Oryctolagus cuniculus: one gene and its partner. The protein of the gene in region 2 purifies or fractionates together with the protein of the main gene of each other region. This does not show direct contact. Links are inferred from orthologs where the notes say so. Each region holds a gene or a part of one and is shown on either strand. Other genes may lie near its edges. The genes, in order: TGFBRAP1 and ACVR1.

Region 1 (3,817 bases), on a different chromosome or scaffold from region 2:
TTTCAGTGCCCACCATGGCCTGCAAGCTCCCCCGCTCATGCAAACTTGCCTGTTACGACTGCTCAAACAGTACCTCCTCCAGGAAGTTCTTCTGGGCCCCTGTCCTGTCTACAACTTCCTCAGGCCTCCTCTGTCTTCCCATTACACTGAGGATTAGATGCAAGTCTCACCCATCTTTATGTCCTCAATGCACAAGAGTACACTGGACACACTGTCTGTACCTAAAGCTGGGAGACCAAAAACTGATCAACAGGGGCCGGTGCTGTGGCGTAGCGGGTAAAGCCGCTGTCTGGTAAAGAGAAACTTGTGACTTACCCTCGACAAAGCACAAACCCAAAAATTCAATGTCATCAAGGACAGCCAAAAAGCTCTTTTGTTCTACCAGGTGTGAGTACCCACCTGCTCAATGGTCCCTTCTACACTATGGGAACTGGCGCAGCAGATGATGCCACGGCCTGGGATGCCAAAATCCCATACGGGCATCAGTTCAAGCCCCAGCTGCTCCACTTCTGACCCAGTTCCCTGCTAATGTGCCTGGGAAAGCAGCAGCAGATGACTCAAATACTCGGGCCCCTGCCATCCAGGTGGGAGACCTGCAAAATGTTTCTGGCTCCTGGCCCAGCCAGGACATAAAGTGCCTGGCCCAGCCCTAGGGAGTGAACCAGAGGATGGGAAATTCTCTCTCTCTCTCTCTCTTTCAAATAAATAAAATATTTATTAAAAAAATATAGAAACTGTGGTTTCTGCACCCCCGAGCAGTGGAACCTGGAGCCTGTCTAGGATACCTGCACTGCCTTCCCTAGACAACACAGTATAACAGCTGATGACATAGCGTGCGCATTGCACTTGGGTGTTACAAAGAACCTACAGATGACTTCAAGTATGTAGGAGGAAGTGCACAGGTCATATGCAAATATGATGCCATGGGACTTGAGCCTGTGCAGAGTTTGGTATGCCTGGTGTCCTGGAACCAATTTCCAGTGGACACCGAGGGGTGGCTGACCTGGAGTCACTGGAAGGAACTATTCAGTGCTTCAATGCTGAGCAGAGCAATTGGAATGGAGGTATGGTCAAGAGACACGCAGACGTCCAGACTCTACTGGGCACCTCTGATGTCATCAGTCAATGGTGCTGTCCACCTCTGGAGGTGAGAGCAAGAGGCACCTTGCCCTTCCCTGAGGAATCAACCCCGGAGCTGGGCCATGGTCTGCCTCTCTGTCCCTCCCATCCACCCCCCAGTCCCCTGACACATGTCTGTCCATGGAGAGAAGACTTGAGACCATCCTCACCTATCAGAAAGTGGACTCGGTACGAGTCGGATTTCTGGAGCAGCTGCCGCAGCTTGGCCTGTGCCTCCGTGGCTGCGGCCCCCTTGTCGTTGGCGGACGCCCTCTGCTGCAGCACCTCGTCCAGGTAGAGGAGGGCTAGGTGGGTGTGGTACTCTTCTTTCTGCAGGACACAGGGAGCCAAGCAGACAGGGCGTTTGCAAGTCAGCAGGCAGTCACACCGCCACGGCCAGGGCTGTGCGGGGGAGCTGTGCTGGATTCTCCAAAGACAGTGGACAACGTGGCTGCCCTGGAGACTTCTCGGACACCTCCACGCAGAGGGGATGAGTTTAGAGTCCGTGGGGGATACACAGTGGGGTTACTCCTCACCCTGGGAAGTAAGGGCCATAGGTTTAGGGGTTCTCCAGAGGAGCCCAGCTTTTCCCATTTCCTTTAAGGATTGTAACAAAGAAGGGAAAGAGAAAAAGAATCTAGAACACAGGATAGGGTGTAAAAAAAAAACCTGCCTAGGACGCAAGGTGTCTGTCATCAAGCCTCAAGTCCCCCTCAAACCATCAACAAGGACTGACTGAGCACCCAGGGAATGTAAAATGGGACATCAGAACCCTCCGTCAAAAAGCTTATACAGTCAAGGTGCATTTGTTATGGCACCGCGGGAGCTCTGCAGGCTGCCCCAGCCTGAGCTCTGAGGACTCACCTGCAGCCCCCTGTCCATCACGAGGTGTTCCAGGTATTTAACCAGGGCTTTAGGGTACTTTTTAAGGCAGCTGATAATGTCGTCTGGGTTGAAACTGTCCTGCTGTTCATCCAGAGGTCTCTTGGTGAAAACCTGAACTCCAACCTGCAACGGGAGGAGCGACTTGGTTACTATGCTTTCAAAGCCACCTTCTCTTTGTCTTTATCCTGCACCCTGCACGTTCACACTCTGCGGTAGGTTCTTGGTCTAGCAGTTAAGTTGCCCATGTCCGAGTTCGACACTTGGTTCCAGCTCCTGACTCCAGCTTCCTGCCACTGCAATCACTTGGCGGGGTGAGGGGTGGGGACACACTAACAGCTCAAGTAACTGGTGTCCTGCCGCTCGGGGGAGACCTGGCTTGAATGCCAAGCTTCTAGATTTGGCCTAGCCTCTAGCCCCGATCCTTGTGGACATTTAGGGAGTGGATGGAAGCTCTCTTTTTCTCAAGTAAATAAACAAATCAAATTTTTTTTTTAAAAAAAAAGGGATATGCTACATTAAATATGTCTAGTTCTTCAAATGTCAATCAAGTGGGTTAAAAAAATTATGGTGACAGAGAAAATCAGTCCATCAAGAAGCACTGAGAAAGACCAGGGAGCAGACAGAAGACAGGAGAGGCAGCCGAGACTGACACCCTCCTGGGACAACCCACTGGACTGTCTCTTAAGAGGCTCGGAAGCTAAGGGATGGCACGTTTACTGGTAACATGGTGCAACAGCAGCTTTGTAACAGTAATAGGGATGCTCACTTGCCTTTCAAGAGTGCTGGGATTGATACAGTGATTGACTGTAGAGACTGATACAGAGATTGATACAGTCATAAAAGTGATAGATTGATACAGTGAGCTCAGTTCTCCTTGATGGACCATTTGCCAGACATGGTTGACCAGAGGTCTGTGCCTTCTGCCCCTGCCTGTCAAGTGCCGTGTGCTGGTCCCTGTCTGTCTTCCAGAGAGATTTTGATGAGACGGGCAGGGAAGTAAATCCATCCTGTGCCTACCCTGCCACAGTTTGTGGAAGGGCTGGCATTGTGGCATGGTGGCACAAACTGCCACTTGTGCTGCTGGCATGCCAAATGAAAGCTGGTTCAAGCCTTGGCTGCCCCACTTCTGATCCAGCTTCCTGCTAATGTGCCTGGGAAGGCAGTGGAAGATGGCCCTGGTACTTAGGCTCCATGCACCCAAGTGCAAGGCCAGGATGGAGTTCCTGGCTCCTGGCTTCAGCCTGACCCAGACCTGGCTGTTGTAGCCATGGTGGTGGTGGGGGGAGTGAACTAGCAGGTAGAAGATCTCTCTCTCCTGTCTCCTTCTCTGTCATTCTTTCAAATAAACCTTAAAAAAAAAAAAGATTGGAAAGTGGAATTAAAAGATAAATTTCTTTTGATGTAAAAAATTTTTAGAATCATGCATAGTTTTTCATAACACACATTATTCCTGAACTTTTTTGAAGATCTCTTGTAAAAGCACACATGCCATAACCTCAAAAGATCAGAAAGACAGCATAGCTGTTGCAAATATAAATTCTGAGTTCAATGTAGAGAGGGTCTTCAAAAAATCCATGGAAATGTGTATTACGGAAAAACTGTATGATTTCCACTCCTTTGCAACAAAGTAAAGCTTTCTCTTAGTTCCATTTTTCTATGAACTTTTTGAAATCCCCTTGTATAAGCTATGACAGTAGGAAAGTTTCTAAACCTCCAGGAACCTCTTTGTGAGTTGCTGTAGCATTTAAAAGAAATGACATAAGCTATTAGAAAGGATTTTGATGTTCTCACCACAAAGAAATTATGTTTAAGA
Region 2 (3,817 bases):
AAATCAGAATACAACAGTGCTGGCTGCCCCTGAGGATGCGGTGGGACGAGGCTGACTGGAGGAGCCTGCAGTGACTTTCTGAAGCAATGGGAAATTCTGTATCTCAAGAGGGACTGGAATTTTGTAGCAATTGCCAAAACCCTGAGAATATACTAAAGATTTGTATATTTTACAGTATGTAAATTTCGCCTGAAAGGGAAAAAAGAATAAATAATACATTAGTTCAAGATATTGCAATGAGCATGCTAAAGTTGCTACAGAGAAGAGTTCTTTCATCTGTAATTCACTTTGCAAATGTGTCAGAGTTAAGATGGATGGATGGAGGATGGATAGCTGGAGAGACATGCAATAAAGCTTAAGAATAATTAAATGTTACCAGAAGCATTCAGATGGTATATACACAGTTGTTCATTACAAAGTTATTTCAGTTTTTATGCACAATTGAAATTTTTTACAACAACAAATTAGGAGGCTAAGAAGTTCAACTTGATTAAACACTGGAGTGCAATAAAGGCAAAAATGGTAATACTTTAAGAAATTTACCCAAATCTGCTATGCAGCACTGTCCATTCTTCTTCACCAGGATGTTTTTGCTTTTTAAATCCCGATGGGCAATGGCTGGTTTCCCTTGGGTCCCAAATATCTCTATATGCAGATGTGCAAGACCACTGGCTATGGACAGCACTATTCGAAGGCAGCTAACTGTATCCAGAGTAGTGAGCTGAAGATAGTCATACAAGGATCCCATCTCATGATAATGTGTAATTAACCACAACTGAGTACTGGAGTGTCTTGATGTCATGTCTGAAGCAATGAAACCTGGAGAGAGCAACAACAAAATTAACACAGTGAGAACTCCACACTGTAACTTTTAGTATTTTGAAATGGTGCTTTACACAACAGACATCATTTGTTTGAAAAAAGATTAACCCATCGCCATGACAGAAGGTTTATAGATGCACCAACAGAGGAAAATAATAGCATTTATCCCTTACAAAGGGCACTGCTAATGAACAGGGAATTTCAGGAGGAAGGATAGAGTGGGAAGAATCACTGTCCCTAAATCTGTATATATAAAATACATGAAATTTGCATACCTTGAATAAAATTTTTTAAAAAAGAAATTTTCATATTCCTTTCCATTCTAAGTATTATGGTTTAAAAAAAAAAAAAGATTTGTTTTATCTATTTGAAAGACAGTTACAGAAAGAGAGTGAGAGACAGAGAGAGGTCTTCCATCAACTGGTTCATTCCTCATATGGCCACAATGACCAGGGCTGGGTCATGAAGTCAGGAGCTTCTTCAGAAGTGGAGCAATCAGGACTCAAGCCTGCACACATAGGGGATGCTGGCACTACAGACGGCAGCTTAACCCACTATGCCACAAAGCTGGCCCTGAGTGACTTTAAAAAAAATACTTCACATTGTGTTATGATTCAGACAGGAATCTTTGTGCTCACCCATAAGGACAGTGCCAAACTCTTATCACATTGATCTTCCAAGTATAGAGCCTTCATCAGTCACCCTAAAACATAAAACCTGGAACCTAGATACTTAGATTCCATTCTGACCCTGCCTGTAACTTACAGTGCAATATCAGGTAACTCAAACCTGCTCTCTGGCCACTTTTGTTGGGACACAATATAAATAGGTGAGTTTATACCAAATGACTGATTAAAAAAAAAATCAAATAGAACAAGCACTTACAATGCTATCTGTCAGTTATACGGAAAAAAACGAAGATGATAGCATTTATTGGCTAGAAAAGGAAAAATAAATAAAAGGGGAAAATATACACAATAATCTGTAATATTCATCTGCATAGGACACCATGAGCCCAGGGAAGGGGATTACATTAAGTCAGACCTGACTCCCTTCAGTAAGCGGCCACGGAACAGGCCTCTCCCTGACAGAAGGTAAGTACTGACAGATGTGGCCAAACCCAGAGAGAATGATTTTTCTCCTGGACATTCTGAGGGGATACTTGGTATTTCCCTTGGGAACTTTTAATCTTTAATGACTTTCTCAAAAATAAATGCAAACTATAAAAGCACCACTCAAAAGACTTTAAATTGCTGCCACGTATTTGTGTGGCCTCTCCTGATTTCTTCCCCAAAGGAAAAGCAGCCTCTGAGTAAACAAGTAACAAATTTTTATTCCCCCGCCTCCCCTAAGGCCCCTAGGTCTTAAATAAGGACTTTGTCTGTCCTGTTCATTATGCTACAGACTTGCATGGACAATGAGCTTACCTCTTTCCTTGCCCAATCACGCTTTCCAACATGTCCCTCAAGCTCCTGTCCTGGCTGTTCCCTTTACAGGGAACACCCTCTTCCTAGGAGCGGGGCTGACTCCCTGACCTCTGGCGAGTCTTAGTTCAAATCCAGCTTGATCTAAAAGGCTAATCCTGACCACCACGTTGGAAACTACAACTTATCCTCTCTAGGCATTCCAAATCTCCTTTACAACCATCTCCTTCCGGGGGAAAAAATGACTTCTAAATAAGCAGGGCTCTTTTCAAAGGTTTCTCTCTCAGGAGTGAATTATATAGCTATGTTTGCTTCACAGGGCTGGATGTTCACTTATGTAGAATGTCTGTGTTTTGAGTCAAAACACTTTGCTAGGGGTATGGATTGAGGCCAGTAGTTAAGATGCTCACAGCCCATAGCCTGCTCCTGACTCCAAACTTTCTGGCATGCTTCCTGCCAATGTAGACCCTGGAAGCAGTAACGGCTCAAGTGGTTGGGTTGCTGCCATTCATGTGGGTGACCCGGACTATGCCCTGAGCTCTTGGCTCCAGACAGCCCAGCCAAGGTCACTGCATGAATTTGGAGAATGAACCAGCAAATGGGAACTCACTCACTCACTCACTCTTCACCCTCCCCCTTCTCCCTGTTTCTCTGCCTCTCAGAAAAAGAAAAAGAAAGAAAGAGCTCTACTATTAGTAGAGATTGTACAGCTACCTCAGGTTGGAATTCTGGCATAGCCACTGGATGTGTTCATAATAGGAAGAGAAAGTGATTAGTGCAAAAGCCTCTTACTTAACAACCAGTCATCCTCCTAGGCTCCTTAAGAGGTCAAATAAAACCCAAAGTCTTAAGTAAGGTTATCAGCTACCCTCGTGAGCCTCTCACTGGCAATGCTCCCAGGAACAACGTACCTCCTGGGCAGCTTTCACAGGCCAAGTACAAGGCCACCATGTAAGACAGCATGGTTGTGGGGCCTCAGAGCTACCCTACTAGGATTGCATACTGGCTCTACCACCCTGGGGCTAGCTGATTTTGCCCAAGGCATATAAAATTTCCACCTCAATGTCCTCATTTGCAAGATAAGGATAATAACAACATATATTTCAAAGGGTTACTGTGAGAGTAAGAGCTATTACATGTAAGATGCTCGGAACAATGCCCACCACATAGTAAATGTTCAAGAACAGTTAGTGATTGTAGTATTATTGTAGTAATTTGATGTCATATCTTTTTAGGGAGATTCCTTTACTTACTGATCTCAAGAATTTGATTAAACAGCTAGGTGGTAATTTCAAGAGCAAGTGATAGCTCAGGAGATAAACGCTGGCGATGGTTATACAACAATGTACTTAACACCACTAAACTATACCTTTAAAGTGGTTAAAATGGCATATTTTCTGCCATGTATATTTCACTACAATTTTGTACAGAGTAGAAAATAACACTTCAGAATGAATTTTTCCTATGGTTTTAGTGATAAGGAAAAGAATGCTGAGAAAGATGTAACTTTAACACAAAGTCGCATCATGGGTCTCTGCTTGTGCTCAAAGTTGAATCCAGTTTCCCAAATT

The links.
Region 1: the proteins of ACVR1 (region 2) and TGFBRAP1 purify together in Homo sapiens (co-immunoprecipitation; 3 studies listed by BioGRID and IntAct, counting the BioPlex papers as one, with this or other methods). This does not show direct contact. The link is inferred for Oryctolagus cuniculus from reciprocal best matches to the Homo sapiens genes ACVR1 and TGFBRAP1.

Annotation. Positions count from the first base shown.
Region 1 is NC_091433.1:103,327,177-103,330,993, reverse strand, and holds part of TGFBRAP1 (transforming growth factor-beta receptor-associated protein 1), read right to left. Parts: intron 2,128-3,817; coding exon 1,984-2,127; intron 1,450-1,983; coding exon 1,290-1,449; intron 1-1,289. UniProt on the Homo sapiens protein: Plays a role in the TGF-beta/activin signaling pathway. It associates with inactive heteromeric TGF-beta and activin receptor complexes, mainly through the type II receptor, and is released upon activation of signaling.
Region 2 is NC_091434.1:84,290,553-84,294,369, reverse strand, and holds part of ACVR1 (activin receptor type-1), read right to left. Parts: intron 820-3,817; coding exon 544-819; intron 1-543. UniProt on the Homo sapiens protein: Bone morphogenetic protein (BMP) type I receptor that is involved in a wide variety of biological processes, including bone, heart, cartilage, nervous, and reproductive system development and regulation.